Drosophila melanogaster: one gene and its partners. The protein of the gene in region 1 purifies or fractionates together with the protein of each later gene. This does not show direct contact. Each region holds a gene or a part of one and is shown on either strand. Other genes may lie near its edges. The genes, in order: Rab4, Galphao, RhoGAP68F and Vps52.

Region 1 (6,983 bases):
ATATGCCCACGGGTAATATCTATGGCAACAGAACTCCGGCCAAGACTAACGCAAACGTGCCAGCTTTGATGCCGTCGAAACCGACTGTCCGCGGGAAGGTAAAACCACTGCTCATTTTGCAAAAAACTGTTTCCAAAGAACATATAACGCCAGCGGAGCAGGGCGAGTTTTTGGCTGCAATCACTGCCTCGAGCGCAGCGGATGTTTTCGACATGGAACGCCTTGAGATTCTGGGCGATTCCTTCTTAAAACTTAGTGCCACGCTCTACTTGGCCAGCAAGTATTCGGATTGGAATGAGGGCACTCTTACAGAGGTCAAATCCAAGCTTGTGTCTAATCGTAACCTGTTGTTCTGCCTCATCGACGCGGACATTCCCAAAACGCTCAACACCATTCAGTTTACGCCTAGATACACATGGCTTCCACCTGGCATCAGTTTGCCCCACAATGTTCTAGCCTTGTGGCGAGAAAATCCGGAATTCGCAAAGATTATTGGCCCACACAATCTCCGTGACTTGGCTCTCGGCGATGAGGAGTCCCTGGTGAAGGGCAACTGCAGCGATATCAACTACAACCGCTTCGTGGAGGGATGTCGAGCAAATGGGCAGTCCTTTTATGCCGGTGCCGATTTTTCATCCGAGGTGAACTTCTGCGTGGGACTGGTCACGATTCCCAACAAGGTGATAGCCGATACCCTTGAGGCGCTATTGGGCGTAATCGTTAAGAACTACGGATTGCAGCATGCCTTCAAGATGCTAGAGTACTTCAAGATTTGCCGTGCGGATATTGACAAGCCGCTTACTCAGTTACTGAACCTCGAACTGGGCGGCAAGAAAATGCGGGCGAACGTGAATACTACAGAAATTGACGGCTTTCTCATAAATCACTATTATTTGGAAAAAAATCTTGGCTACACGTTTAAGGATCGACGATATTTGTTGCAGGCCCTCACCCATCCCTCGTATCCCACTAATCGCATCACTGGGTCCTATCAGGAGCTGGAATTTATTGGCGATGCCATACTCGACTTTCTAATCTCTGCCTATATTTTCGAGAACAATACGAAAATGAATCCGGGCGCCCTCACAGATCTGCGTTCCGCTTTGGTCAACAATACTACGCTGGCCTGCATTTGCGTGCGGCATCGGTTGCACTTTTTTATCCTAGCGGAGAACGCAAAGCTCTCCGAGATCATATCCAAATTCGTGAATTTCCAGGAGAGCCAGGGTCACCGGGTTACCAACTATGTGCGCATTCTGCTCGAGGAAGCTGATGTTCAGCCGACTCCGCTGGACTTGGATGACGAATTGGATATGACTGAGTTACCGCATGCAAATAAATGCATTTCTCAGGAAGCAGAGAAAGGAGTCCCACCAAAAGGTGAGTTCAACATGTCCACAAACGTGGATGTGCCAAAGGCGTTGGGGGATGTTCTGGAGGCCCTTATTGCAGCCGTATACCTGGACTGCCGAGATCTCCAACGTACTTGGGAGGTAATTTTCAATCTCTTCGAGCCGGAGCTTCAGGAGTTCACGCGCAAAGTGCCCATCAATCATATACGACAGCTCGTTGAGCACAAGCATGCGAAGCCCGTGTTTAGCTCGCCCATCGTCGAAGGGGAAACTGTAATGGTTAGTTGTCAATTTACCTGCATGGAAAAGACGATCAAGGTGTACGGATTTGGGAGCAATAAGGACCAGGCCAAGCTATCGGCTGCCAAGCACGCCCTTCAGCAGCTAAGCAAATGCGACGCCTAATATGATGATTCCAGCCCAGTCTAGTTTCTGCTAAACTGCATTGAATTTGCTTTCTAGCCAAGACGTAATCCTTTGGAAGAGGACAGCAAAGGGCACCTAATGAACTTAACTGTATATCTTAGAATTAAAAAATACTTTTCCATCGCTTTAATAGACATAAATGTCTAAAACCAAAAAATCATTTTTGATCACCATAAATTGTTAAGACCTTTTAAATCAAAACAAAAACAGCCCATTTGGAAACACAATCTAAAGATGCTATGCCAATTTCCTCAAATACAAACGGTTTTTAATTATTTTTTTATCAATTATTGCCATTTAAAATGTTTTAGCTTCATTGTTATTAATAAAATTTAATAGCTTCCCCAATACAATATTTGTTACCTTGGGTCGAAATAAATATTTTTATACAATTGAATTTATCAATGGGCGTTTTTATTTACCGCGTGCATGCTTCAATGGGATTTACAATCGGCGACGTCGTCAACGGCGTATCGCTACTTATTTACATTAAAAATGCCGAGTGTATTCTGTTCATCCTCTAGATCAGATCCATGTGCTTATAGCCATACATCATTTGTTGCTCGAGGGCTCTAGTGCTTCACGAATTACAAATTATAGTAAGTAACATTTGGGGTTAACCCGAAATCATAGGTTTTCAAAGTGGTAATTGGTTATGTTAAAAAACAAATCGATTAGCATTATGCTTACAATTGGAATGATTAATCTAGCAAGACAAAATACATACTAAAAAAGTGGACACACACAAGTACACAATACAACTAAGGGGTAATCCGAATGCGCATTCCGGTTTGAGATTAAATGGAAATAAATCAGCACAACTTATGCGACTTAAACGCGACAGGTGCAATCCGGCTTATTGATGCTGCGCTGTCGTGTCTGTAAGTTACGGAGAGCAGCTCCGCCGTACTGAATACCGCTGCCGATGCGCTCGGGATCCAGCTCTCCGGTCTCAATTTTGGCCAGTATGGTCTTTGAGCACTTGAGAAAGGCCTCTTCAACATTCTCCCCCGTCTTGGCGCTCGTCTCCAGGAAGATAAGCTCTGCAACGACAAACAGACGTAGAATTACGATAGGAAATTTATGGAGAATCCTAAAAAACAGACCGTTCTCTTGGGCAAAGGTGCTTGCTTCCAGAAAGGTCACATCACGCGCCTCCTCCAAGTCCTTTTTATTGCCCACCAAAAGGATCACAATATTTGGGCTGGCCAGAGTGCGAGCATCATTCAGCCAGTTTGTCAAAGCATTGAAAGAGTCCCGCGAAGTGGCATCGTAGACCAGGAGAGCTCCGGCTGCTCCGCGATAGTACGATCTTGTCACCGATCGGAATCTCTCCTGACCGGCTGTGTCCCATATCTGTAGCTTTACCGACTTGCCGCCCACGTTCACAATCCGCGAGCCGAACTCCACTCCGATGGTGTGCGAACTGTCGTCTTTGACTTTGATGGTACATCAAAATGTATAAAATGCATTAGGCGTGTACCATTTTCAGGCTACCACCAAACTTACACTTGCTCTCGATGAAGTGATGCAACAGACAACTCTTACCGCTGCCAGCACTGCCAATTATCAGGAACTTGAACAGGTAATCTAGGTGAGCGCCGAGCACCGATATTAATTAGTAAAATGCATTAATTAATTAAATGTGTGCTGACAAACCGTATGTTTCCGACATTGTTTTTGTTCGTCTTCTGCGTAGTTGTCTTCTTTGTTTGTTTTGGTTTTTCGGCCAGACTTCAGGACTATCGGATTGCTGGTGCGTATGGGCACCAGGAAGTGCGCAGGACACGATCAAAACCCGCAATATCCGTCGATAAGTAAGCGTTTAAACAATTAGAAAGCCAAAAATTACCTTAAAATCTTTGACTGGACTCACTTCAGTGAGAAGGTTCGCTACAAACGCGAAAATACCAACAAGGGGTGGGTGTGACCAGGTGGTTCAAAATATGATTCATATTGCAATTAAGTTTTTGTTTACTTTTAAAATATTTCCAAATATATGAAAATTGCCGAAAGCTACAAAGAAAAAACAAAATATGAAATGCAGCCCACAAAGGTTTATTGTCTTTTTTCAAAAACCCTCTTCTATTCATCACACAATTTGCATACATACATATATGCAATAAAAGTATAAAAGATGGTGGGCCCTGGTAATCCAACCCGGCACATAGTCTACGTATCCTTTTGCTTCTCTGGTTCGTAGTCTTGATAGCAATTAATGGGATCCTTGGCCGTATAAACTGAGTATGCCAATTTGCTGCCCTTGAAGTTCTGTAAACTCAGGGCAGAAAGGGAAAATTACTTAAAATTAACCATTCTGATAAGCACTATCTGCCGTACCTTCATATCGCCAGATATCAGAGTCCAAAGGAAAACGAACACCGCCGGTATCACAGTGGACAGGACAAACAGCTCGAATGTGTTAAGCTCCCCAAAAACGGATATTTTCATTTTAATTTCGTAATTTTTGATGAGTTCTTTGCGAATATTAGTTTTTGTTGATGACTAGTTGTTGTTCTCACGTAGGCCGCACAGTGTTGTCACACCTTGCTTTTAAAGTTTTACGCTATCCTACGGTCACACTGTAGTGGTATTATTTAGGACATTTGAAACTATTGCGTTCATTGCGAACATTTTGGTGCGTGTGAAAAGTTATTAAATCAACAAAAATGGCTTTCCGCATACCTTTTGGCAAGAAGCACGCTGAGATAGCGAGTTCCTTGTAAGTATATGCTGTCGTGCTTGATTCTGCATCATGAATTCATTAGTGTTCCCGCTCTTTTACTGCTACCAAAGCACACATTGCATAACCCCATCCAGAGAACTAAACTAGTTTCTTTTAATTCGTAGCATCCGATCTGGAGCCGGATTCGGAGGAGCTGCTGGCCTGGCCGTGCTTTACTACACCGACTGGAAGCTGGTCCTACAGTACGTGCCCATCTACGGATCCAAGTTCGAAAAAAGCGAGTAACCTTGCCTGCCGTAGTTGAATCCACAGTTAGCCTCGATGTTTTGCTTGGTGAATAAAATAAGTTAAAACGACCAAAGGGTATTACTGAGTATCGTATATTACAAATAACTTTGTAGAGGGCACAAGGATCGGTTAGATTATTTCTCTAGCTAACTAATCGCTAAGGCTTAAGTAACTGTTCCCTAAGTCTTACATGGCTAGCCTATTTTGATCAAGCATTGTATAAAAAAGTACAACGGCGAGCTGCCCATTCGATTGGAAGAGTACAAAACGGTTTCTTTTTTGAAAAGAGAAATATGAGATTGCGTATTTGGAAGCCCGAATAGACCGACGATTGAATCCTTTTAGACAAGTAATTTGGAATTTCGCTTAATAAATTCTAGTTTGAACCATAACTTTCCTAACAATCCGGTTCAACAAAGGAGGCGGGGAACAGCCCGGTTTTGTGGGTACGGGCATGGGTGCCCTTATACCAGCCGTTCTTCTGCTTCCGCTGGACGTAGATAATGTCGCCCAAATGTAGCTCTAGTTCAATGTCACTGTTTGGTGGATACGGCACAATGCAGCGGAATCGACTACGATAAAAGGTTGCATTAGTAAATCTCTAAGCTCACAATAATGTATTGCAAAACCCACCTTTCCCTCGTGCAGTAAGGAGACTTAGTGGTGGCGCTGGCCTTAATGGCCGCCTCCGTGATCATATTGCTGCTGGGACTCAGCACATGACTCGCATCTAGGCTGTGCGACTTCCGATGGCTGGGTGCAATAATCATATTGGCATGCAACTGGGATTGCGCTCCACCTCCAGGAATCACCTGTTGCTGACCGCCGGCGTAGACAGCTGGGGCCACGGAAGTAGTAGGTGGCGGCGGCGACGCGGCATTGTTGTACATACTGCGAAATGTAGCTGCATCTAATGATTGTCTCGCGCTGAATCAAAATCCAAGAGTCAGTTAAAAGTTAAAGCATTCAAATTAAGCCTAACGAACCAAATCAAGTGAGGACGTTCCTTGCTTCCTTTCACGCGTTGCGATCCGTACGAAACGCTGTTCGTAGAAGCGGAAGGCAGCTGCTTGGGTAGGAACTGCTGTTGTTGTGCCGCTGTCTTGGCTGCTGGAGTTTCATTGAGCGGTTGACTGTGCTGCAGCTGACTGGGGCACGAGCCGGATCTGAAGAGACAAAACAATTAAACTTTTATTCTGGTCTATAAAGATAACTTATTATTGCGGATCTAACCTTACATGTACTGGATGCAATTTAGCTGATGGGTTTGTTGTAAATTCCACATTTGTGCTAATAGCTTCTTTCGGAACTTGCTGCAAGGACGCTCCCGGAGATTTGGAGCGTGTTTTCATGTGAGTTAATCTCCTCATAAGTCCCACTGCTCCAGAGGAACTGCTGCTCGTAGTCGAAGCTGTGGCAGTTTCAGGCTTGGGCTCCGATTTTCTGCTGAACAGCGCCTCCACTGGTTTCGACCACACAGAGCAACTGGTGGTCGTGGCGGTAGCCTGCTGCTGACGAGGTGGCAAATCAGGCGGTTGCATGGACAGCATGTTGTTGAGTCGCACATCTGGTGCAACTGGATGCTGCTGTACTTGTGCCATCTGGGCGTCTGCATTTTGGGGAACATATTTCCATTGATGCATTAACTGCTGCTGGTCGCGGGCGCGCAGGGGCGTCAGGTAGTTGCCCGGGAACACTCCAGTGATGTCCAACCAGTTTTTTCCCTTGAACCAACCGTCCACACATCGTTCGGTCACAATGTAAACACAACCCTTTTTTAATTCCAGCTCATCCGTTTGGCGTGGTTTGTATGGGAACAGGGCTAAGTATCCCCAGGGTAAATTCGGTTGCATCTGCTGCTGAACAGTGGTCTTAAGTACACGCGATGTCTGTGGGGCTGACGTGGGTTTTAGAGCTGTTGAGCTGGAAACTTCCAAGCGGCTTAGTTCATGGGGCAGGCTAAGAATTTCAGCCGAATGGCGGTTGGTCTGCAGCAGACTTAATGGAGCTCCTCCTCCCAGCAAAGCATTTAGTGAGTGGCGTTTCTCCTTTGCTCCCTTGTCACGGAAACGAACAGACGCCGATCCGGAAGCTACTACATGTTGGGGGGTATTCGGCAGTGAGATTTGGTGATTCGGACTGCAGTTATTCGAGCTGGATGTGGAGCTTGAATTGCTGCTGCCCGGCGTGGAATTGGAGGATCCCGAACTGGATTCCGTGACCACCGTGGG
Region 2 (7,592 bases), 7.1 Mb from region 1:
GCGGCAAAGTGGAGCACTTGTGCACTTGTCCGAAACAATCTGCACCTACCCCATGCTCAGCCCAAGCCAAAACCACCCATCCATCGAATGCCATTTTCCATTTTCTGTGGCGTTCCATGGGTTGCAGGTCGCGAGGCCTTTTGGCACTCGGGCGACATTTGACTTTGCTCAATTACGTTCGATTTGTGCTGTATTTGGCATCTTTTATAGTTTATTTAACGAGCCTGTTTATTGTCATTTTGTGGACTGCTTGGCTCCGAAATTTGGGAGAAGCGGGTCCCAGCCTAATTGCTTTGCTACATATGTTTGGTGTTCCAGATTGGATGGGTTGTCGACAGCTCCATATTGATAAAAAAAAATATAATTTGATCAAGAAATATAAGTAATTATTCAAGAATTTGAAAGAAAAATCGGTGACGCATTTTAAGGCTTTAGAAAAACGGAATGTTTCATTCTCCCCAAAGTTACAAATCGAAATGTTTTCCAAGAATTGGTCTTAATAGGTCCCGGAGCGTATTTAAATTATATTCTCCAGATCGCAATAAATATATTTAAGATGTTACGCACTTTTTCAGACGAATTAAAGTAAAAATTCCACTATATAAAAAACTCGTATATAAACTATAACTTTAAAAAATATTTAAACTTGTAACGTTCTTCTGATTGGAATATGGTTATTATTTTTTATCATTGGAAAAGATAAAACAAAATTCTTTTCGAGTTCATAAACATAGAGTCTTATCTTTTTTAACTCATAATAATTATTTAAAATTCTACCAAAGAACTAATAGTTTTTGTTCTTATCTATCTAGGAATGTTGGGGTTTTACAAAAATGAAACTTCTACGACGTTTATTTGCCAACTAGTCAGTTTGAGTTAGCAATTGTTTCTTGATTGTTTCACGTAGCCATATCACTCGACGGCACAAGGGCCGGCAAAGTGGCAAACAAACGAGCATCGAACGTTTCCTCAATAGCCTTTCCTTTCGGCTTGAAAATTATGCCTCAAGTGGCGGTTTCTTCAAACTTCCGCCAGGAGGCGCCACTCGAGAGGCACAGTGCTGTGGTGAAGTATGCAGCCACACCCAGGACATGTACACGTTTCCTCTCGCTCCCTTCCGTCCGGTGCCGCTGTGTCCATTGTTTCGTTAGTGTTTCCTGGCCGCCATTCGATGCTTCCGCCTGCCATTCGTCTGCCCCTCGACCTGCCCCCGACTCCGGCTTCTGGGCACCACCCCCTGCAGAGAGAATCGCCCATACCGTCGCACTTTCAATGTTGCAACATGGCTGCAATACACTCCCTCCTCGGCACTCCTCGCTACTCGACTCTGCTCCTTGTTGCTTGTTAGGGCGTTTAAAAGTTTTGCCTGATTGCACAGAACAACAGCGAGCAACTGTGTGGGAAGTAATGGGCCTACACAGCAAACAAAAACGGGTTACAGAGCAGGGGAATATGTATTAACTTGAGAAACTTGTTCCAAAAAAAAAAAAAGGCATCTATCTTAACTAAGTCATATAAGAAGTACTTTGATCTGGTTTATTTTTGGTTTAAGCATTAAATGTTTTGTAAACTTTATATCTTTAACTTTTGGTTTGTTTGAATGCTGCTTTAAGTGCATCCACGATATGGAGATTTTGCTTGTTTTTCGCAACATGTTTGTGTACAATGTTAAAGTGAAAGAGAAATTCCCGTGCATATTGCAGCTTTGTCCTTTTTCTGCCTGACTGCATCCCTATCTCGTTTTCGGGGGCAAGTCAAAGTCAATGGGATTAACTGACATTTCGGTGTCAGTGGCGCAACCAGGTTAACAAACACTGCACCTCGAAACCATGCTACATGGTGCACACCCGCCCACTGGCACACACGTGCAATTGTTTCAATGTCAAGTGGCGTCGATTGCCCTCATCTTTTGGCGGATGCAGACGCACTTGGACAAAATCTAAGGCTAAGGCTAAGGCTGCAGCTGCAGCTCACAGATGCACTCGACGATGAGATTCAGGCTGATGCAGGATAGAGATGACAGCAAAGACAATATCTACATGATGATTTTTTAGCATCTTTAAATTCTTAAGCTATGTTCAGATAATTTGCACTGTTTTCTTAGATTTGGCTAATTCTAGTCATTATTTTATATATTTTTTAAAAACATTGTAATTATTTCATCACTATCGAACTGTTTGGTACTGAAACCACTTTAATCGGACCGAGTCATCCGCAGGCCACATGGCTCCTCGAAACTGTTTAGGTTTTCACACTCGCCTGCCACGAGGGCGGATGCAACTGTTGCTGCTGCCATTGTCTAAGATGTTGCATGCACAGTGGTGCATGAGTCCATTTTATTTTCGGATATCCATGCCACATGCAACACCCAAAAGTTGACCCAAATTACTTCGGTTTCGCCTTGGCCAAAAAAAACACGCTAAAAATAGTTTTGTCATGGAATCGATTCATCAGCACTCAAATAGAGTGGAATAACCTTGAGTTCGATTCCTTTTGTGGGGCAACAAGTCATTACATTTAATTTAAATAACCAGTCAGTACATACAAAAATCATAGTTTTTGAATTTACTTTTATTCCAGTCTTTGAATCTTCTAAAAAATGTGAACTCTGATATAAGCCTTGATGGAAATTGAAGAGCAGCTAATCCAAAATTGCGTCCAGTACATCCAGCATTTCCGCCGCAGAGTAAAAGTGTGTGCAATAAATATCCCCCTATCTATCGGCACATAAAACCGAAAATAAAATTTTCCAAGTGCCCCGGAATCTGGCGGCCGATAGATAAACCAGCAATTTCCACCAAAATAGAACGAACAATAGAGTCGAGTCGAGTGGAAAGGTAAACGCTGAGCAGGATTTCCATTTCCGGTGAGAAAAACCCAAGTGGAAAAACGAGAAAAAGCGACGAAAAGTGCACTTACCCAGCAGCAGGAGCTTGATGTCCTTGGCCGCCTGGATTCCATCCTCCTTTAGATTCTTCTCGATCTGTTTGGATCGCTGGATGGCGGCGCGTTCTTCGGCGGATGTGGTGCAGCCCATTGTGGTTGGGTTTGGATACTGATTTGGATTCGGATTCGGATTTACACGGGGCTTTTCGGTTTTCGGGCTTTTGTTTTCCAATTTTCCTGGACTTTTTTCTTTATGTCTTATTTGCTTATGTACAGTTTAACGATTTCAACTGAAATGGAGTATTGAACCCATCAACAATAACAAATACACGGGTCAGCGGATGATTCACTATAAACAGTGCGCGATCGATAAGGCGAACCAATGAATATCAAGGATGTGTTAAATATACAGCCGAGTTCAAAATAATAATGTTGAGTTATCTTAAATTAATTTTGTCTGCTGTGTATAAACACAAATTGTAATTGTAATTGTAATATTCTTTCTGTTACTCAACTATTATGAGAAACACAGCTGTATATTAATTTGTATGTAATAGTTAAAAAGATTATTTTAAACTGATGTTACAAGGTTTATGGAACACATCGTTCGCTCTATGGATGTTGTACTGTACTGAGACAAGCACTAATTTTATGACCGCCACTGTCTGTGCAATGGGCCGCGCACTGTATCAATTATGTTGCTTTTGTTTTTTATCAGCAGACGCAAAGTAAAAATAAAAGCAATGATAGCCAGCTAATTTGCATATGGAGCATGTTTGCGATATCGATACAAAATTCATCAATCGCGCTGATAAGATAAATCCATCAGATAATGCTGGATCGCGATAAGAACGATGGTAATTTATCATGTAAGTGAATTAGTCTCGAGGTCAAAGAGCCAAAAACTCAAGCTTATTTTTTGGATACCACTTATTTTTTGTTGTCACACTTTTAATAAAACTTTTATAAATTTTGTTTGTTTTTTTTTTTTTTTGGTTTTATTTGTATGTTTTTTATGCAGTGTGTATGTATTAAGCGTGGGCGTAGGCGCTAAAAAAGCGCCGGGTTGGTGGAAAAAAAGGCGGTGGGTTGTGGAGTTTTCTTTTTCGAGCGTTTGCCTAAGCACATTAACATATGCAAAAAGTAATGCCGTTTTTATGCAAACTGTTAACCATTTCGGATGTATAAATTTTCATTTAGTTTGTCGCTGTTTCACTCACACGCGCGCACACACTCACTCACTCACACGCACGCACTACGCACTCTCACGCGCTGCACACGCCACACCCCCCGCCCACTGGGCCGCCACCCACCACCCCACGAGTTTTCCTTTTCCTTTTTTTCAGCTTTTTTCAGCTTCACATTTACCACCGCCTAGTTTTCCAGTCGTATACACACCGCACTAGTGTATGCGTGTGTGTGGGTCTGCTTCAGCCTGCTGTGTGCGTGTGTGTGCAGGAGGCTCTCTTTTGCGTTTGGCTGTTCTTATTGGTTCCGTTCGCTTTGCGCTTCTTTTTCGCGACTCGCTGTATTTATTGCACCGATCGTGATAGTTTACCGTTGCACTTGCCGAGCACTTGCACTTGTATTTTTGGCCGCAGTGATATTGGTAAATTGCACTTTTCTGGTGTGCGAAAATTTAGCTGCTCTCTCTCGCTTCGTTCGCTCTTTCCAACTGCAGAGCGAGGCGTTCGAACAGCTGTTGGCGGCGTCGGTGCGCAGCACTGGACGCGGCGGGGGTGGCTGTTGACCAGCACTGGCCGCAACAACAGCTGCTGCAAAACAAGCTTATATTTAAAAATTTAAATTTGTTAAAATCTTCCGCTATTTATATACATATAATTTAATAAAATGTTTTATATAAATATGAAAGAACATGCTCACTTTAGTTTCAATAAATATTTTGCATCACTTTGTATGTACAGACATTTATTTTTTTATTATGTTTTGAAACTTATCTGGATTTTAAATAGCAGGCCACTCAAAAGGATCTCATGAATACAATATTTGAGCTTTAAGTGATACAAATAGAGATATATTTTTTATTTATATTATTGCAAATAATTATTAAAAATTCGCATACCTTTCATAACAATTGCAGTGCATATTCTCCCAAATATATTCATATTTAAAATAAAACAACTATTTTAATTTAAATTCGCCTGAGGTTTGAACGGTTAAATAAAATAAATGATTAATTCAACAAAGTGTGCACTTTCCAGCACTATTTATAGCAACAGCCGATTATTATAGCAGGAATCTATCGATTATACTTAACTTTCTTAGCCAACACTGTCGTTATATCATTGTTTTGGTCGTTTCCTAAAATGTTGCGGCAATTTATAGTAAGTTTATGGCCCCAAATGTAGTAAAATATAATTGATTGCTTAATTGGACACAGGTATCTACGGTAGGCCGTCGCCTGCAACTACCTATGATGGCCCAAAGTCGCCTCGCCAGCAATTTGGACAAAACTGAGTACACAACACCCGGGGAAATTGTGGACTACGATGATCCGCCGCATTTGCCAGTTCCGGAATATCCTGTCCGTCCCGATGAGCCGCTGGAAACTCGCAAGCAGCGGTATACGCTTAAAATGAAAATATCCCAAACTCCTACTTATGATCATTCATTATCTTGTGCAGCCTTTTGTATCAAAGCAGGAAACGCGGAATGCTGGAAAACGATCTCTTGCTGAGCACTTTTGTGGCCAAGCATTTGAAGGACTTCAATGCCGAGCAGACCGCCGAGTACGATCAGTTGATCAATGGTGTCAGCAACGACTGGGATATATTCTACTGGGCCACCGATACCAAGCCAACACCTCCTCAATTCGATACCGAAATAATGCGTCTGCTAAAGGAGCACGTCAAAAATCATGAAAAAGTGCAAAGGATAAGGCAGCCGGATTTGTGAACATTATAAACTATATTATATATATAAGCATACAAAACAATGTATTAAATGAATGTGTTATTCTACTCCTGATCCTTAAAAGACCAATGACTTGAACTTGCATTTTACCTGGTATTTAAAAACGATCATTTATACGGAATAATAAATAATACGGTTGCAAGTGATTTGGTAATTTGAATGTGCTTTCATTTTTATTTTTATTTGTTGAAAACTTCAGCTTAATCAACAAATCATGACATTTGAAAAGATACAATTTTAATATATAAAACTGAACACATTGTCAGAATGGCATATATTTAATCCAATTTGAACCCCCTTTAAAACACAGTTCTCGCTTTCCTGAAATACACATCCATACAATATATTTAAACGATTATCCAGTTAAATTCTATTCATGTTTGCCGAATGTGTGTATGACCAATCTTGTATATATAGATTAAATTTTAATACGCTTAAACACTATAGCGAAACATTACACTTAAAATGTTCATTTGCTTTTGCTTAGTCTTGCCACAAGACACGGGATGGCGCGGAGTCCATCGAAAATCGCTGAAAACACGGAGAATTAAAACGCGAATGTCTACCAGTTAACTATGGATTCGGTTCTATATTAACATGCTAAGGAGATGATTGAACAGCTTTTGCTCCAGGCTAGTCCCTTCACTATCAATTCTAGATTATATTTTGGTGTGTGATTGTTGTGTTTCGGGCGGTGGAAGCGAAAAACAAAGGGCTAATTCAATTTCAAGGGTCGTGTCGCAGCACATTTCGCAAATTTAATTATACATCATAATATTACACACTTTATGCTTAGAGAGGCTATATAAAATATATGTTAAAAGTTATTAAAAATCACGCCAAATCAAAGGCCGCCAAACGCATAGCATCTTTAGCATAATCGAACAATTAAAAGAACGGCGATTAGTTTTAAATAGGCGCACTGAAGCCGGTTGCGCAGGTAAAAAAGAAAGAGAACGGAAGTAACAACAAAATTTAACCTACTGCAAATTGTAAATAATCTAAATTTAGTCCAGTGTCTCGAAGAAGTCCTGCGGATCGACGAACATCGATGGGCTGCTGTTTCCGCTCAAGATTTCCGCTTCCTCCTCCTCCTGGCGAGCCGCCTCCGCTTCCGCTTCTTCCGCCTCCTCCTCCGCTGCCGCTGCTGCAGCCGCTGCCGCCGATGAAGATGAGCTGACCCCGCTCCTGCGACGACCCCGACGCACTGGTCCCGTGCCCGTGCCCCCGCCCACCGATGCCACAGCTGCCGACCGGAGCGTACTGCCCGTCATCACGGGATCGTAGGTCCGCGACGACGGGGCATCGGTATTGCTGGACAGGGAGGATTTGCGGCGACGTTTGTTACGCCGCCTTCGGCGTCGTTTGCTGGTCTGAACTGCCACGGCAGCCGTTGATGTGGAGGGCCCAGATCCGGTTCCGGCGCTGCCCAACGGTTCCGTAAGCACACTGGTTCGCGGCAGGGTCAGCGTGGTCTCGAACATCTTCAGCAGCGTCGGGGAACTGGGTCAATTTTGCGGGAACACATCGTCGATGGTAATGAAAGCGTCCTCGCCCAGCGAGTGCTGTCCGATCACCTTGATCAGCTCCGAGGCGTGAGCCACCAGGTATTCCAGCGGCGGACGACGCTCGAAGTTCAGGGACTCTGCATAATCATAGTAATTAGTAACTTCGTTTCGAGACAAGTGTTTAAAGACTTACCCAATATGGCCGAGTTGAGTGTGGTGGAAACACTCTCACGTCGCGAGGGACACAGCAACCAGCCCAGCGGA
Region 3 (7,445 bases), on another chromosome or scaffold:
GTTCATTCGCTGCTGGGTGACTACTACCAGGCCATCAAGGTGCTGGAGCCCATTGAGATCCACAAGAAGTCCGCCTATTCGCACATCCCCGCCTGCCAAATCTCGACGTCGTACTACGTGGGCTTCGCCTACATGATGATGCGCCGCTACGCTGATGCCATCCGCACCTTTTCTGATATCCTCCTGTACATTCAGCGTACCAAGCAGCTGTACAGCACGCGTTCATACCAAAACGATCAAATCAACAAGCAGGCCGAGCAGATGTACCATCTTTTGGCCATCTGCCTGGTACTCCATCCCCAGTGCATCGACGAGTCCATCCAGCAGGTGCTCAGGGAAAAGAACTACCACGACGCCATGTTTAAGATGCAGTGCGGTGATCTGGAGGTCTTCAAGTCCTTCTTTGTCTTCGCCTGCCCACGTTTCGTGAGCCCCTGCCCGCCAGCTGTAGACGCACCCATGGACGACTACGTCAAGGACCCCATGGAACACCAGTTGCAGGTTTTCATGGATGAGGTGCGCCAACAGAAGGATCTGCCCACAACGCGCTCGTATCTAAAGCTGTACACCACCCTGCCGCTGACCAAACTGGCATCTTTCATCGATCCCAACGCCAGCGAGGATGACGTGTCGAAGCTGCTGATTCGCCTGCTTTGCTTCAAGCACAAAATGCGCAACCTAGTGTGGAGCAAGGGACCCAGCGGCCTGGAAGGCACATTCAAGTCTGGCTCCGAGGTGAGATTAATATAGACAAATTCTGATGGCAAATATAATAATATACATTAATATTCTAGTTGGACTTCTACATCGACGACGACATGATCCACATAGCCGACACCAAGGTTTCACATCGGTATGGCGACTTCTTTGTGCGTAAAATTCTTAAGTTCAACGATCTGAATCGCAAATTGAAGAACATCAACATTTAAGCCGACTCCTTGTGACCCTTAATGATAAATTTAATATTCCATACTGGACCGATTTGTTTCGATATCAATAAAAATCGCTTGCGATCTTGCGCAAGTTTGGTCCTCAAAATGTGTCTTGAGTATTTAAATAATTTAAAATAATTATCTAATTTTTAATAAGAATCCAAGTTGTTTTAACACTTGCTTTATTTTTAACAATACCGTTATTTTATAAAAATTGTTTGTATGACTATAAGGAAATTCAAGACTACACAGTACGATTTTTGAGTTCGCCACAACTCCACTTGTGCTCGGCATGTGCCTTCAGCAACGCAACCAAGATTCGTTTTCGGTTATGGGGGAATGTGCGTTGAATTAATACGTAGTATATAATAATAACATCTCATATCAAATTTCTCTCCTGTTCGTCGCATAGCGAACACGAGCAAATTTCTTTGGTAAATCAATCGTATTAAGCGCTTGTTGGGGGTAAATAATTGTGATTTTCGGGGGGGTTGGACAGTTGGCGTGGAGTTGGGGCTACAAGCAGTTCCACACACATACACACAGTTTAAAATTCAACTTAGGATTACAGTACACTTTATACACGACATTGCCTTCTGTTCTCTAGTTTCTGTTGCGTTTTTGTGTGCTCTCTCTTTAGCTAACCATTGGTTCACTTAGGACTAACATTAAAATCAAACAATTTACAATTACGGACTTGTTGGTGGCCGGGCCAGTTGTTAGTCCACGGACACTGTGCGCTGATTGACGTCGATCAAGTAGATGTCCTTGTGATTCTGCAGCACAAAGTCGACGAAAGCATTGATGGGAGCGATCTCCTCCAGGGAGGTACTGGTGCTGCGCGACCACAGGAAATTCGGACCGAACACGATGGCCAGGTTGGAGGAGGTCATCTTGTTCAGATCCTCGCAGTCCATCACCCTGACCAGGAACTCAACAATGTACTTGAACAGTTCATAGTTCTCCTCTGGCAGTTTTTCGCGTATCAGTTGCGTCACGTTCCTCGAACGCTCTTCCTTGGGCCAGTCTAGAAAACCGGTCACATCCTCGTACAGCTCGAAGGTGAGCAGCGGCTCGGCGAGATCGCGCAGGAAACTCTTCAGCAGGCCGGCTATCACGTGGACATTAACGCTCTTCAGATCCACATCCTCGCCGCGGTTGACGCGCTCCTTGAGCGCCATGATCTCCGAGTGATTGCCCGATCGACGGAATATGCCCTCCGTATCGATCACGCCCGTTATGGACAGCGAGTCCACGCACTTGCGCACAATTGGCGGAATGGAGTTTAAGCACGGACTGTTCATCACAATGAATTTCAGGGGCACACCAAATTGATGCGTCGTCGCCATTTTGTGCTGCTGCTGCCGGGATGCATTTATATTGCTGCTGGGCGGCGGTGTCGATGGCTTCCGGCTGGGGTTCAGTTTGTCGTCCAGGTCGCAGATGTTGTCCGGCAACTTCAGCTTGTTCAGGCCGAGCGCCTGGCGCAACTCGTCCAAGCTGGAGATGTAGACTAGCTTCTTGCGGAACTTGTCGCTAATGAACGGGCTAAAGAAGTTCCAAATGACCCGTATGAACCACGTCGGATGAACCACATACAACGTCTTCAGATTCTTGCGGAAGTTGCGATCGAGCTCCTTGTACGAATTCCACAGGAACTGTGCGGATGGTTTGTTGTCCTCCTTGAGGCCTTGATGGAAGTAAACCAAAATGTAGTCGTTCTCCACAAAAGGTTCGATCTCCTTGATGATTTCCCTGATAGACAAATGGAAATAGATTAATGATTGAACAAAAAATGTACTCGAATATGAATCCTACCGCACAAATCCTTCCAGTTGGGATTTTTCGGGAAAGCGGGATGCATAAATGCCAAAGATGTGGCGACCCTGCTTATCGGTTCCCAGGAAATCGCATTTGTTTCTGGGAGTCTGAAAGTTTTCAGACTGCTCCCTGAGTTGGTCCTCGAAGTCGTCCTCCAGCGGATTTACATCTTCCTCGGGCTCAAGTTCTGGATCTAGGCGTAATGCGAAACGTTATTCATTGGCCAGGAGAAGTAGATTCCGCCACTTACCTTCGGCCAGAACGAAATCACCGACCATAACATCTTCTGGGAAAAATCGAAGAATTAGTTTGACTATGATTTTGTAGATTCTTTAAATATTCAATTTACTTTCAAGCGGAGATGGGGCCAGCAGCTCGGTATCATCAAACTCTAGCTTCGGCTCGAAGTCGTGCAGATCGGAGAGACTGGGTTGGGGCTCATCCGAGTTATCGACGATCGGATTGATGGCGGGACCTTGGGGTGCGAGAGGAAGGCATTTATAAATCTCGTAGGTTTCCCTGGCGCGGACTTGTATTCCAAAAACGTAATCTTACAAGTAATGCTTTCAGTTAAGTATTTTGACGGCCTGAGGCAACAAGTTTAGTTCGGATTGAGTTTGAGTAAGTGAATAGACATGAATCAGAGAAATTTCATTTGTTAAGTACATTGGCATCTGATTGTATAATCAACAGTCTTACGGTTTCGATATAATTGGCAGACGATTACTGAACAGAACAGAACAGAGACGATTAGGAAACTCTAAGCTAGGGCGATTAGACTATAGACTATGAAGTAAGGCTATAAGGGCTAGGGCAAACACATACGATCACAAAACACATCGGGTAACCAAACATTGGCAACAACACAGCTAGCGAAAAGTAGTTAACAAATAGGATCCACAACAAACCAAGCAAACAAACCACATTGGATAGTTTTAAAATGCAAGTTATGTATGTACAGGAGGAGACGGTAAGCTGCCCACATAGGCTGGATAATGCAGTTTGAAATGGGGTTAGTAGCGCAACTTGATACCAAAAACAAAGAACTTGGTTAGGGGGCGGCGGTTGGGGGTTAGTCAAGGCGGGGCGGGGCGGGGCACAAAATTAGTCGTAATTACTGGCTTTAACTGTTAGTTCTCAAACGAGGGCACTTCCCCCCTCAAAGAAACTACGATACGGCAATGAAAACAACGAAATAAAGCAGCGCAAAGAAATGACTCCCAAAACTTGAAACACAGATTGGAGGTGAGGTATTGTAGAAAACCTGGCCTCATATTTTTAGGCCCGTTTTTATAATCTTCATGGTGGGCTCAAAGTTAAAAGAGAATGATGGGAAAATGGGTTTCCATATGGTGTACCCACAATTAGTTACTTTATATTTAGGCAATCAAACAGATAATTCTTTTACAATTACGTCTTTCATTAGATTAGGTAGTTAGTATTAACGAAGTTCTTTATTTTGGGAACTATTTCTGAACGCTCAAATAAGGCAAATCACTGGACAATGGCAATGCTAAGCAGTTACAGAACCAAAGATCAAAACTAGATATATATTCGAATCGAAAAGCATGACTTGGCCGTTCGGCCGGCGGACTTACCTGGTAATCTCGGCGCGAAACGCGAATGGGCGTCCATGGCGGTGGAGATGGGAGTGGATGCGGATTCAGGTGCTATCCGTTCGATGTGATTGGATTACTCGCGGTGACGCAGGACGTGGCTCAGTCAGTCGTTGGGCTCGATTATTGGCATGTAGAATGTATGCGGCTGAAATGTGAGAATAAATTAGCCAAAAGCAGCAGTTGCCAGTACTCTATCGATGACGTCATTAGCAAGCTATGTAGTTTTCTTGGCTGTTTGGGTTGCTTGTTCGATGGTTATTTCTTGGTATTGGATATAGTACAGGTTGTATGGCACGGCTGATTCACATTCATTTACATCAATGATTTTGCTCGAAGTCTTAGTGCTAAGTTGGCCCTGAAAGACGCCCACCGCCTCCATTTCTAATGTTCAAACATGCATACATACAGTGGGGACATTTAAAGTGGCCATGACTGCGGTCTCAAGACAAGTGAATTGTTTTTCGAAGAGATAACACAAAAACACAGAGGCTGCTTATCGCAATTTCGACAAAAAGCTTCACAAAAGCACATAGAAAGGCACAATTTTAAGTGAAACGTAGTTTGCTTCCTTCGTTTCTGCCAAAAATGGTTATATATTGTCGCGATAATTTCTTGTGATAACTTGAGTATATAAAAGAACGGAAGTTCTTTTTTTTTGAGCGTCCTAACTAGGGAGGGTGCACTGTACATACAGCTTGTATGACTTTATTTTAAATACGTGATTGGATTGTAAATGGGAAATAAATTAATAATTTTCAAGCGTAAACTGAGATTAGTACACATCCTTTTTGACACCACTGTTTCAAAAGGTGACAAATCCTTTAGGCCGCCACTGTAAATGGGAGTAGGCTCCTTTGTCCCTCCACTGTTTGCACATACACACACGCAGAAGTTGAGTAAAAATTTCACAAGTTTCTTGTCGAAAAACGCAATTTCTGTGCAACAACAACCGATTAATTGCAAGTAAACTGCGCATTTGTGTCTAGCCTTTTTAAATGATATTTACTTTTTTGTTATACTAAGTTACGAATTTCTATAAGTCACAAGAAATCATCACATTTTATACGAATGATGAATTTGTCTTAATCACGCTTTCGTTTCTCATTTCAGTTAAGTTTTTACTCTGTTTGTGAGTCAGATTTAGCTAGGAAAGTACCTTTTATCAGTACGGGAAAAAATCTTCGTTAATTTTATACTGCCAGACGACGTTGTTTTTGTCGATGGTTAGTGATGGCAAACTTTGGTTTGGCGAGCCCATTAGTGGTGCAAAAAAGCACAAATCTAACGAACACCAGAAAAACTTGTTCGTGTCACGGAGCAGCATGCACGAAATATCGCTAAGAACTATTTATATAGTGACTGAATTCAAGTCTGTGTATATTGACAATGTCTAATAATAAGCTTATAATTCTCTTCCCACGAATTACAAAATGGATTTTATATAAAAATTTAGATCGTAATAGCCGTTGTGAATTATTTTAATCTATTGTTCGCCACATCTTCTTAACCTAAACAATTTATTTATTTTTTTTAAACATTTTTAGTGCTTGAGCAGCAATAATCAACTCACTCTGCCATCTCTGCTGTTATCGATATATCAAAACAGAAAAACGGTCTGCAAAAAGTGTGACCGTTTGCCGTGCTGCTCGCAACTTTGACACGACCAGTTCCAAAATATCGTGAGATTTACGCAAAACTACTAGAAAATGGTCGGTTGGAGCCGTTTGCTGTCGCCGGCGGCGAAGTTCGCCAGCTACCGGGCTGTCCTGCAAGAGCCCGCGTGCCGGAATGGTGAGCATTTCTTGAAAATATCCGCCGTAAACACACTTCACATTACGCAACCATATATTCTGGATTTCTAGCCCTGCACCAACAGCTGCGCAGAATGGGAGGCGATCATGGACACCACCAAATGATCATCAAGCCATCCCGCTTCCAGTGGGACAAGTTCAAGGATCTGTTGCACTTTTACGTAATGCTCGGCGTCATCCCAGTCACCGCATTGGTTCTCTACGCGAACATCTTTGTGGGACCCGCGCAGCTCGCCGAGATTCCCGAGGGCTATGAGCCCAAGCACTGGGAGTACGAGAAGGTATGATGGGCTCGGAAAGGCAACCAATCGATACTAAGATTGTAATTCCGAGATATCTCTTTATTATCTAGCACCCCATCTCGCGCTTTATTTCCCGCTACATTTTGAACTCGGATCAGCAAAACTACGAGAAATCCCTGCACTATCTCTACGAGGAGAACGAAAAAGCCCAGATTCGGTAATGCGACGGAAACAACCCAGTTATATCCCATTGTAAAACAATATATTTCCTTTCAGACTCCTTGAGGACGAAGTACGTCGCAAGATGTCGGAGCGCAATGATTACCAGGCCTACTACTACCGACCATCGGTGGCCAAGTACCACAGGATTTCGAAAGAGGCTGCTGACGAGCTGGAGGCTCTGCGCGGAGACTAGAACCCTTGTAATATTCTTTAAATACCATTGTTAGGATCCCGTTTTGTGGGAAATAAAGTGTGAAATCGACTTCGCAACATCATCTTATTCACATTTAATAATATAAAAATTACACAGTAGTCGAATAAATACTTAAGACTTAGCAAAGTCATGTGCGTATCGATTTAGCCCCACGCCTGATTCTTGCAGTAGTAGAGCACCAGTTTCCCATTGGTTCCATGGCACTCGTACAAGTTCTTGATTATCTGATCCGGGGCAGGTGCAAATGTCTGATTAACGTACAGGAACTAAAAATTAAGATGACACATAAGATAGGGTTCTCTGGAACTTCATTTGTTACGTGCAATTTGCTCGCTGGCATCGAGTTTCAGAAACTTGTGGATGAACGTCTGTATCCAGCCGACTGTCTTGTTGGGATCTACGGTCCAGGTTCGCTTTTTGATGATGGGCACATTGCCAGTGGCGTTCAGAAGGATACAAACTGATAATGAAGCAAGTCTTTGTGATAAAACGAATGCAAAATATATAAAGTTAACTTTGATTCTCACTTTTGGAACCATCCTTATCTGCAGGTGTGGAGGAGGAAGTGCTCAGCGCTGCCTGGG
Region 4 (7,725 bases), on another chromosome or scaffold:
GATGGCATAGTCCACCAGTTGGCGGATCTTGGGCACTAGGCTGGCATCGTACTTGGCAATCAGGTGCATGGGCATCGTGATCAGGCACACGGAGTTGCAGTTCCGCACACTGGCCATCAGCAGTGTGAGAAACTTGATCAGATCCTCGCCGAAGTGTTCGTCGTACCACAGCGGCGATCCCAACGAGGTCAGGCAGACGCGGCACAGGTTATTCTTGGTCCCAGCGACGAAGCTCTCGTTACGCAGCAGCTGTTGAATATCGTTGAGCAGTCCTTTGTACCGAGGGTTGTGGAACACCTGCAACGGCGAATCCTGGCTGCCTGTTTTTGTGCTACTGGTCACGCTGCTGCTATTGTTATTGTTGTTATTATTGTTGTTGGCAGAGTTCTCCTCCTCCTGGGCTGGCATCTTCTCCTGCGGAGCGGTCTCCGTGCCCGGAATCGGTGGGGCATCCTCCACGGGCTGCTGCTCCAGCGACGGAGTGGTTGGGGAGCTGCTCTTGGAGAACTCCTCGTCAATGACGATGTCCAGATGCTTGGGGCTATCGTCCCACAAGGTAGTCTTGACATTGTAGAGCATCATGGAGTCCATCTGTTCCATCAGATTGAAATGGTGTCCGATTTTTGCTGTGGCATGTTCCGAATTCACCAGCGGCAGATCATTGTATCGCCAGGCGATCCTTAGGCCATTTTCGGCGCCAGCATCTCCCAGCGCTTGCACCTCGCTTTGCTCCATCGATTCCTGGTCGGTCAGCGGTCTGGGCAGACGGCGCAGCATCTCGGCTGGAATGTCGTCCAGGCTGCCCAGAAATATCTCCTGCTTGGAAATCACACCCTCGGCCAGAAAGTACTTGGCCAGCACCTTGGCGTGCGTCATGAAGCGATCCTCCTCGATCAGGCAGATCGAACCCATGGGCAGACCGCCGCCAATGACCACGTCCAAGTACGGATTTCCGCTGGAGGTGATCACCTGCGCCGTGTGCGGTGAGGTGCGGGTGCCGCGGATTGGCTTCTGCACGGTGCGCTTGCGGAAACTGGTCATCTTCGTCGCACAGATTTCGCTAACCTTTATTTTTTGCGTTCTTTTTTGCTATGTGTTTCCTTCTCTTCGCGTAAACTTCTATTTCGATACTTTCGATATTATCTATTCTCGATGGCTGCCAATGGGGGCACACTCTCCAATTGTGTATCGATAGTCAAAACAGCTGTTAATTCGCAAGTTCTGGGTAGGGCGATAGTTTAGCTTTTATTGCTTAAAAATAAATTTGTGTTCATGTTGTATAATTGGTAGAATATAAGAGGCACAAGTCAAGTGTTGTACTAGAAAAGAAACTCATTGATTGCTTGTGTACAAATAAATGAATAATTGAAAAAAATTGGTCTTAAATTCAATTTCAATTTTCACCCAAAAATTAATTTTAATTAAAATTGTATTAGTTAAGTAATTTTTTATATGAACCAAGAAATCTTTTTTTTTTTTGAAAACATAGTTTAGTTCTCATCACCAATATTAGGGTCTTTCCAAAAGCACATCTTACTCCGATAACAAAAACAGCTGTTTTGATGACATACTTTATTTTTGTTGGTAGTTGAGAAAAACAATTGGGAAAAATACCTTTAAATTGGAAAACAAAAATGGCCGAGGTGCCGTCCCCGCAAATGACGGAACAACTGGACAACGAGGAGGTGCGGGAGATCCTAAAGAACACCACGGATCTGCGGCAATATTCACGACAGATTGAAAAGGAGTTTAAGGAGGTGGAGAATAAGTCCATAGAGGGTAAGCACCATGTTCCATATGCAAACTTAGCTCTAATGATATCCCTTTGAATACCAGACTATATAGCGGAGTCGCAGAATATAGCCAACCTGCACAATCAGATAAACGATTGCGACGATGTCCTGGAGCGCATGGAAAATATGCTGATGAGCTTCCAGAGCGTTTTGAACAACATAAGCACTGAGATCACGCAGCTGCAAAGAAAATCCGTATCCATGTCCCTCCAACTGACCAATCGTCAGTCGGTCAAGGCTCAATTGTCCCAGTTTATCGAGGACATGGCCGTGTCCGAGGAGATGATCAACATAATAATGGAAACCCCGGTTACGGAGCGGGATTTCAGCACCCAGTTGAATGTACTGAATCACAAACTTTCGCTGGTCAAGGAGCTCAGCTTCAAAGAGTCAAAGTCCACCAGCGATGTGAGCGATGTGCTGCAGAAGCTTCGACTGAAAGCCATGGCCAAGATTCGCTCCTATCTGCTGGAGCAGATTTACAAGTTCCGGAAGCCCATGACAAACTACCAGATTCCACAGAACGCCATGCTGAAGCACAAATTCTTCTTCGAGTTCATCCTGTCCAACGAGCGGCATGTGGCGCAGGAAATATGCAGTGAATACATCGATACGATGGGCAAAATTTACTATAGCTATTTTAAGGTTGGTTTTTTTTTCAAAGTTGTGGAAGCATGAATTTTCTTAAATTCATAACTTTCTTGCAGAGTTATTCCACACGCTTGACGAGCCTCAAATTCGAGGAGTCCTGCACAAAGGACGATCTGATGGGCATCGAAGATAATGCATCCAAAGGTTTATTCTCCAAGACGACGAGTCTAAAGCACAAGAGCACCATTTTCACAATAGGAAAGCGAGGCGATATACTTAACCAGCAGCTGGAGGCACCAATTATAGTGCCACATGCGCAGCTAAAGAATCGAGTAAGAGATGTGATACATACACTTGCAAAGGAGATACATCTCAAATTTTAAACAGTACACAGCGGAAGCTCTCTTTCGGTCGGAGCAATACGCCCTAGTGGACAATGCCTGTCGGGAATACCTATTTGTCACGGAGTTCTTTATGGTTCGCGGCACTCAAGCGCAAGATTTGTTCAACCAAATCATGGGCAAAACCCTAACTCTAATGATTGTAAGTCAATGGTTTTTACTTGCGAAATATTAATCATATCTGTTTTTTGAACCTAGAAAAATCTGGAGACCTCCATACACGACTGTTTTGATACCATTGCCATGTTCCTGTGCATCCATCTCATTTTCCGCTATCAGCTAATGTGCCACAAGCGCTGTGTTCCCGCATTGGATAAGTGAGTCTATTCATGGGCGTTGATGATTTTGGTTCACAATTGGATATTTATATGTTTTGATTTCAGATACTGGGACTCCCTGCAGGCGGTAATATGGCCACGTTTCGAACTAGTATTCCGCTTGAATATCCAGAGCATACATGACTGTGATCCAACCAAGTTCAACAAGGAATTGGGACCGCACTACGTAAGTATACGATTTAAAGTTAGTACGGGTTACAAATTATCTTAAATCGATGTTGATAGCATTCTAAAAGTCAAGAGAGGGCCAATAGAGATAACTTTTAACCATTTCTTTTGAACAAAACGCCTTGTCATAATATAATACGTATACTTTACAGATAACACGACGCTACGCAGAGTTCAGTGCGGCCATTGTGGGAATCTCGGAGCATTTTCCTAATGAATTGGTTAGCCGACTGCTTCTGGAACTGCAAAATGAAGTGGAGTGCTTTATCCTTCGCATGGCCGCAATATTTCCAACGCGAAAGGATCAGCTAATCTACCTGATAAACAACTACGATTTGGTTTTGGGCGTGTTGATGGAGCACACGCGAGATAACTCCAAAGAAGCGGAGGCATTCAGAGAGCAGCTCAACTCCCGCAGTGCGGAATATGTCGAGGAGATCCTGGCCCCTCATTTCGGAGGCATTATTCAGTTCGTCAAGGAGTGCGAGCACTTCTTCGAGAAGGAACAAATGGATGAGCTGCGCAAACAGGAGCGAAGAAGTCTGGCCTTGGTCGCCAGCTTCTCGGCCAATTGGAAGAAATCTCTGGAGGAGCTAAACAGGGAGGTGCTTCTCTCATTTCCCTCATTGCTGACGGGCTCACAGCTTCTGCAGCTTGCGTTGGCCAGTTTGGTGCAATACTATCACCGATTCCACAAGCTCCTCACGCCCAATGCCCGCGCCCAGCTGACCAATATCCACGTCGTGATGGTGGAGATCAAGAAGTACAAGAGCAATTACTGAGGGACGCTTTAATTGAATCTGTGTGTGTGTCTTCTGTGTATTCCAAATTGAGTAAAGTTCCAAAATAAATGTATGTAAGGTATACGACTTAATCCTCATCCTCGAACATCATCTCGACGAGATCCTGATTGGAGCAGCGCTCGCCATCCAGACGCTGTGGCCGCTTCCAGCGCAACAGAGTGGGCAAGAAGATCAGATGCGTGTTGGGATCCTTGCGGAAGGGGCAGTTCAAATCCTTCCAGCTGCAGTGAAAAACAAGTGTTAATTTATTGCTTACCACGGTTCAGTGATAACAGGCGGCATGAATACAACTCAAGAGCATTGTAAAGCTATCGTTGTTTAATGGTTTTTTTTATCATGAATGTTCTCGGCGTGTGAAAAAGTACTCGAGTGCTTATTTCATCATCGTACAGTTGGGGTTGAGTGACTAGTTTCACATTGCCAAAATGTTTTGAACTTGATAATCGAATGACAAAGGGTTTTGGCAACTGAATGACGTGGGATATATGCATATATGTACGTCATTCTAAATGACTAAGCCTGTGTTTTGAAACTATTTGGCTATTTCGAACCAAAGAAACCAGCAGATGTTCGCAGTCTCGCAGTGCATGAAATATTAATTCCTGCTTATCTAACTAATCGCAGCTGTTTTCTTCAGTTTGGCGGTATTAACTTACTATGCCCGCTCGCCCACATCCACATGCACGAAGTGCGAGTTGCCCGGGGCCTTCTTCAGCGCATCGTGTATCACCGGCTCCGCTGCAAACGTGAGAAATGAGTTTGGGAATCGGATAGGTTGCGGTTAGCCGCATTGGGATCACGGCATGCTCACCCTTGACGCAGTAGGGGCACCAGCTCTCTCCTTTCTCGTCCTTGCCGCCACTGAAGAGGACGTGGACCGGCTCGTCGCCGTTCTCCAGTTCCTCCATCTTTTTGGTGAACTCATCGTATCCCTTGACGTTGTGTGTGACCACCATGATCTTGCTGGGATTAGTATTCACCGCGCAGTAGCGTCTGAGTATGCGACCGAAAAGCGTTGGAAGCGACGTGATGGCGAACTTTGGAGTAACTGGCTTCTGGAGGGGAATGGACTTCTCCTAATTTATCAGGTTTTCTGACTTTTTGACGTAAAAAAAGCTTACTATCACAGATGGCAGGGTTACCAGCTTTCGAGCGCACTGATACATGGCCATTTTCAAGCCAATGAAAATAATAGATTTTTAGCTACGAGCTTAGATTTTGAAACGTATGAAAGGGAAATAAATAAGAACAGATACGTTGACTTCGAAATTTATTTGTAATATATATGATTTATTTGTAATATTATCTGTGTACCCTAAACATATAAAATTTACTTTCAACAATTTCTTGTTTTTAGTAAATATCGAAATAATAAAAACGCCATTCTAGCTGGCTATAGCCATTTTAGCGGGAATAGCCCGATAACCCGCTAATTGGTGAAAATGTGCAACACTATTTGTATCGAAAAACTAAACAGCTGATTAGAATTCTTTTTTTCGTAAAGTACGTTTATTTGTTTTTTACCATTGATTTCGTCGTGAACGATGTCACGGCTAGCTTTATTGCGCAATTTGGTCACTCAGCGGCAAAATTTGTTGCCCACCAACTTTGCCAGGTTAAAATGTGCGGCGGCGATGCACTGGAGTCCACATTTGCGACAGGAAGCGTCGCGCGGTTTGTGCCTCAAACTTCTCATCAGGTTACATCTGAAATATTTACTATATTATTCATGCAGATGGTGGCGGATCCCTTCAACGATCGCAGGATAACACCCAGGTGTCGACGGATGTGCGCCCCATTGGCGAGAAGATCAAGGAGAACACTAAGACGGCCAGTTATACGGCGATTATAATCGCCGGATTAGGGGTGACCTGCGTGATGTTCTTTGCCATATTCCGAGAGCTATTCTCCAGCGAAAGCCCGAACAATATATACGCGGACGCGTTAAGACGTGTGGTCGAAGATCCGCGGGTACAGGATGCAATTGGTGCGCCCATCAAGGGATTCGGCGAGACATCCAGGCGCGGTCGCAGACAGCATGTGGCGCACTCGAGCTACGAGCGCAATGGAAAGCCCCACATGCGGATGCAGTTCTATGTGCAGGGCTTGAGGAACAAGGCCACCGTGCAGCTGGAGTCCAGAAGGGTATGTGTGATGAATATCTCCCAGGCCGCATTTTTCTAATCCTCACTTTTTACAGAGTGACTCTGGTAAACTGGAGTATCGTTATCTGTTCGTGCAATTGGATCACTATCCCCGCACCACCATCATCCTTGAGGACAACCGTGCATTTGACCCCACCCCCGAGCCAGCGTCCGCTGGATCTTCCTTTGGCAACCTAGCCCTGATGTCCAATAGCCGGGATAAGTAGGCGGATCCTTCCGATCTTCTGCTCTCCTCTTAAATTCTCTGTACATTTGTTATATTTATTATTTGACTGACAATGAAATTGCATTGGGTAACCAAGCAGAGTCACCTTTAAGTTATTCGCCAATCGAGAAGTTGTCCATCTCCAAAATGGCGCCCGATTGGTGTCAGTAGAGCTTTTTCCACGGTATGATCTCCCAGGAGCGAACGATGTGGCGTCCGAAGAGAAAGTCCTTCAGCTTGTTCATTATGTAAAACGAGATGCCGAAGAAGGAGGCGAAGTACAGCCAGAACTGTCCAAGCCGTTCCCAAATGCTAAGATGATAGCGAGCGGCAACTTGGAGCACGTCCAGCTCCAGGTCAATGATGAGACCAGGCTGCAAGCGCGCTGACGTTTCTCTGTAGTATGTCTCCTGCACGGCCAGCTGGAAATATGCTGGATTGGCCTTGACTTGCGCTAGCAGCGATTCCATCTTGAACTGATCTATATTTCCGTTGGTAGAGTTCGTATCCAATTGAACCTGTCGGAACTGAGTCTTGATGTTGCGTCCCGGAAATGGACAGGTGAACTCTACGTATTGCTTCAGCTGCAGCTCTCCCTTCAGTTGAACGTGTCCATTTCTGAGGCGAGCGTGCAGAGGAAGCTGTAACTGATGGGCCAGCACGGACGGAGGCGATAGATCGCACTTGTGCTGCAGTTCAGCTTCAAAGAAGACCAGCAGATTGAAGCTCACCAATCGCGTGGGCACATCCTGCAGTTCCAGCTGAAAGTGCGCCCGATCTGTTACGCCATCGTAGTCCACATCCTCTGTCCAATATCTAGTGGTGGTGCAGCTATTCGTATAACTCTCCATTTGCTCATTGAACTGGCTGAAGCTGCTGCAAGCGACCAGGGATTCCTCCTCCTCGTACTCCCCCTGATCCGTTGTGCCCACGAATATGTACTCGTAGTTGAACTCGACATTCGGCTGCTCGTACAGCACCCTCGATTCTGATATTCCAGAATAGGGACTCAGCAAGGACACGAGCAGCACGGGCAGCATCACAGAAAGCGCAATGAAGGCCAGGACCAAAAGCGAGGCAAAGGAGCACAGCGAGTTCTTGTACACGATCGCCGTGTTTGTCGTGTGCAGCGGAATAAATTTCATCTTGTCTTCTGTAAATCAACCTTTTTTTTGAGCACCTGTTTTCTTGACACTTGCCACTGGGTTTGCTATGAAACGAGGTTTTCGTTGCCAGGCAACGAACAAAATAGAATTTCCAC

What was found.
Region 2: the proteins of Rab4 (region 1) and Galphao purify together in Drosophila melanogaster (affinity purification with western blotting, with the first as the bait; one study listed by BioGRID). This does not show direct contact.
Region 3: the proteins of Rab4 (region 1) and RhoGAP68F purify together in Drosophila melanogaster (affinity purification with western blotting, with the first as the bait; one study listed by BioGRID). This does not show direct contact.
Region 4: the proteins of Rab4 (region 1) and Vps52 purify together in Drosophila melanogaster (affinity purification with western blotting; one study listed by BioGRID). This does not show direct contact.

Annotation. Positions count from the first base shown.
Region 1 is NT_033778.4:17,570,169-17,577,151, reverse strand, and holds Rab4 (Rab4), read right to left. Parts: upstream 3,691-6,983; 5' UTR 3,454-3,690; coding exon 3,438-3,453; intron 3,369-3,437; coding exon 3,288-3,368; intron 3,218-3,287; coding exon 2,885-3,217; intron 2,822-2,884; coding exon 2,610-2,821; 3' UTR 2,173-2,609; downstream 1-2,172. Other genes in the region: Dcr-2 (Dicer-2), read left to right, coding at 1-1,757; CG42239 (uncharacterized protein), read right to left, coding at 3,951-4,049, 4,119-4,229; UQCR-6.4 (Ubiquinol-cytochrome c reductase 6.4 kDa subunit), read left to right, coding at 4,448-4,500, 4,629-4,749; POSH (plenty of SH3s), read right to left, coding at 5,150-5,324, 5,386-5,679, 5,739-5,918, 5,986-6,983.
Region 2 is NT_033778.4:10,434,959-10,442,550, reverse strand, and holds the start of Galphao (G protein alpha subunit o), read right to left. Parts: upstream 4,567-7,592; 5' UTR 4,445-4,566; intron 4,304-4,444; exon of another isoform or gene 4,200-4,303; intron 4,081-4,199; exon of another isoform or gene 4,059-4,080; intron 3,946-4,058; exon of another isoform or gene 3,814-3,945; intron 3,181-3,813; exon of another isoform or gene 3,177-3,180; 5' UTR 3,106-3,176; exon of another isoform or gene 3,038-3,105; coding exon of another isoform or gene 2,920-3,037; intron 1-2,919. Other genes in the region: CG12895 (uncharacterized protein), read left to right, coding at 5,214-5,231, 5,288-5,469, 5,532-5,802; RanBPM (Ran-binding protein M), read right to left, coding at 7,329-7,465, 7,522-7,592. UniProt on the Drosophila melanogaster protein: Guanine nucleotide-binding proteins (G proteins) are involved as modulators or transducers in various transmembrane signaling systems.
Region 3 is NT_037436.4:12,137,035-12,144,479, reverse strand, and holds RhoGAP68F (Rho GTPase activating protein at 68F), read right to left. Parts: upstream 5,613-7,445; 5' UTR 5,529-5,612; exon of another isoform or gene 5,379-5,528; intron 4,518-5,378; 5' UTR 4,389-4,517; coding exon 4,352-4,388; intron 3,480-4,351; coding exon 3,453-3,479; intron 3,341-3,452; exon of another isoform or gene 3,309-3,340; intron 3,229-3,308; coding exon 3,103-3,228; intron 3,040-3,102; coding exon 3,004-3,039; intron 2,947-3,003; coding exon 2,751-2,946; intron 2,688-2,750; coding exon 1,652-2,687; 3' UTR 1,100-1,651; downstream 1-1,099. Other genes in the region: eIF3l (eukaryotic translation initiation factor 3 subunit l), read left to right, coding at 1-735, 795-929; ND-SGDH (NADH dehydrogenase (ubiquinone) SGDH subunit), read left to right, coding at 6,079-6,163, 6,235-6,464, 6,536-6,642, 6,702-6,840; Atg12 (Autophagy-related 12), read right to left, coding at 7,005-7,127, 7,185-7,321, 7,389-7,445. UniProt on the Drosophila melanogaster protein: Functions as a GTPase-activating protein (GAP) for RhoA/Rho1 during gastrulation by converting it to an inactive GDP-bound state.
Region 4 is NT_033779.5:5,517,726-5,525,450, reverse strand, and holds Vps52 (vacuolar protein sorting 52), read left to right. Parts: upstream 1-1,552; 5' UTR 1,553-1,634; coding exon 1,635-1,779; intron 1,780-1,836; coding exon 1,837-2,438; intron 2,439-2,500; coding exon 2,501-2,716; intron 2,717-2,771; coding exon 2,772-2,927; intron 2,928-2,983; coding exon 2,984-3,102; intron 3,103-3,168; coding exon 3,169-3,289; intron 3,290-3,443; coding exon 3,444-4,073; 3' UTR 4,074-4,161; downstream 4,162-7,725. Other genes in the region: Elp4 (elongator complex protein 4), read right to left, coding at 1-1,041; cl (clot), read right to left, coding at 4,162-4,315, 4,751-4,832, 4,906-5,050; CG7382 (uncharacterized protein), read left to right, coding at 5,639-5,768, 5,830-6,239, 6,295-6,465; CG14020 (uncharacterized protein), read right to left, coding at 6,629-7,609.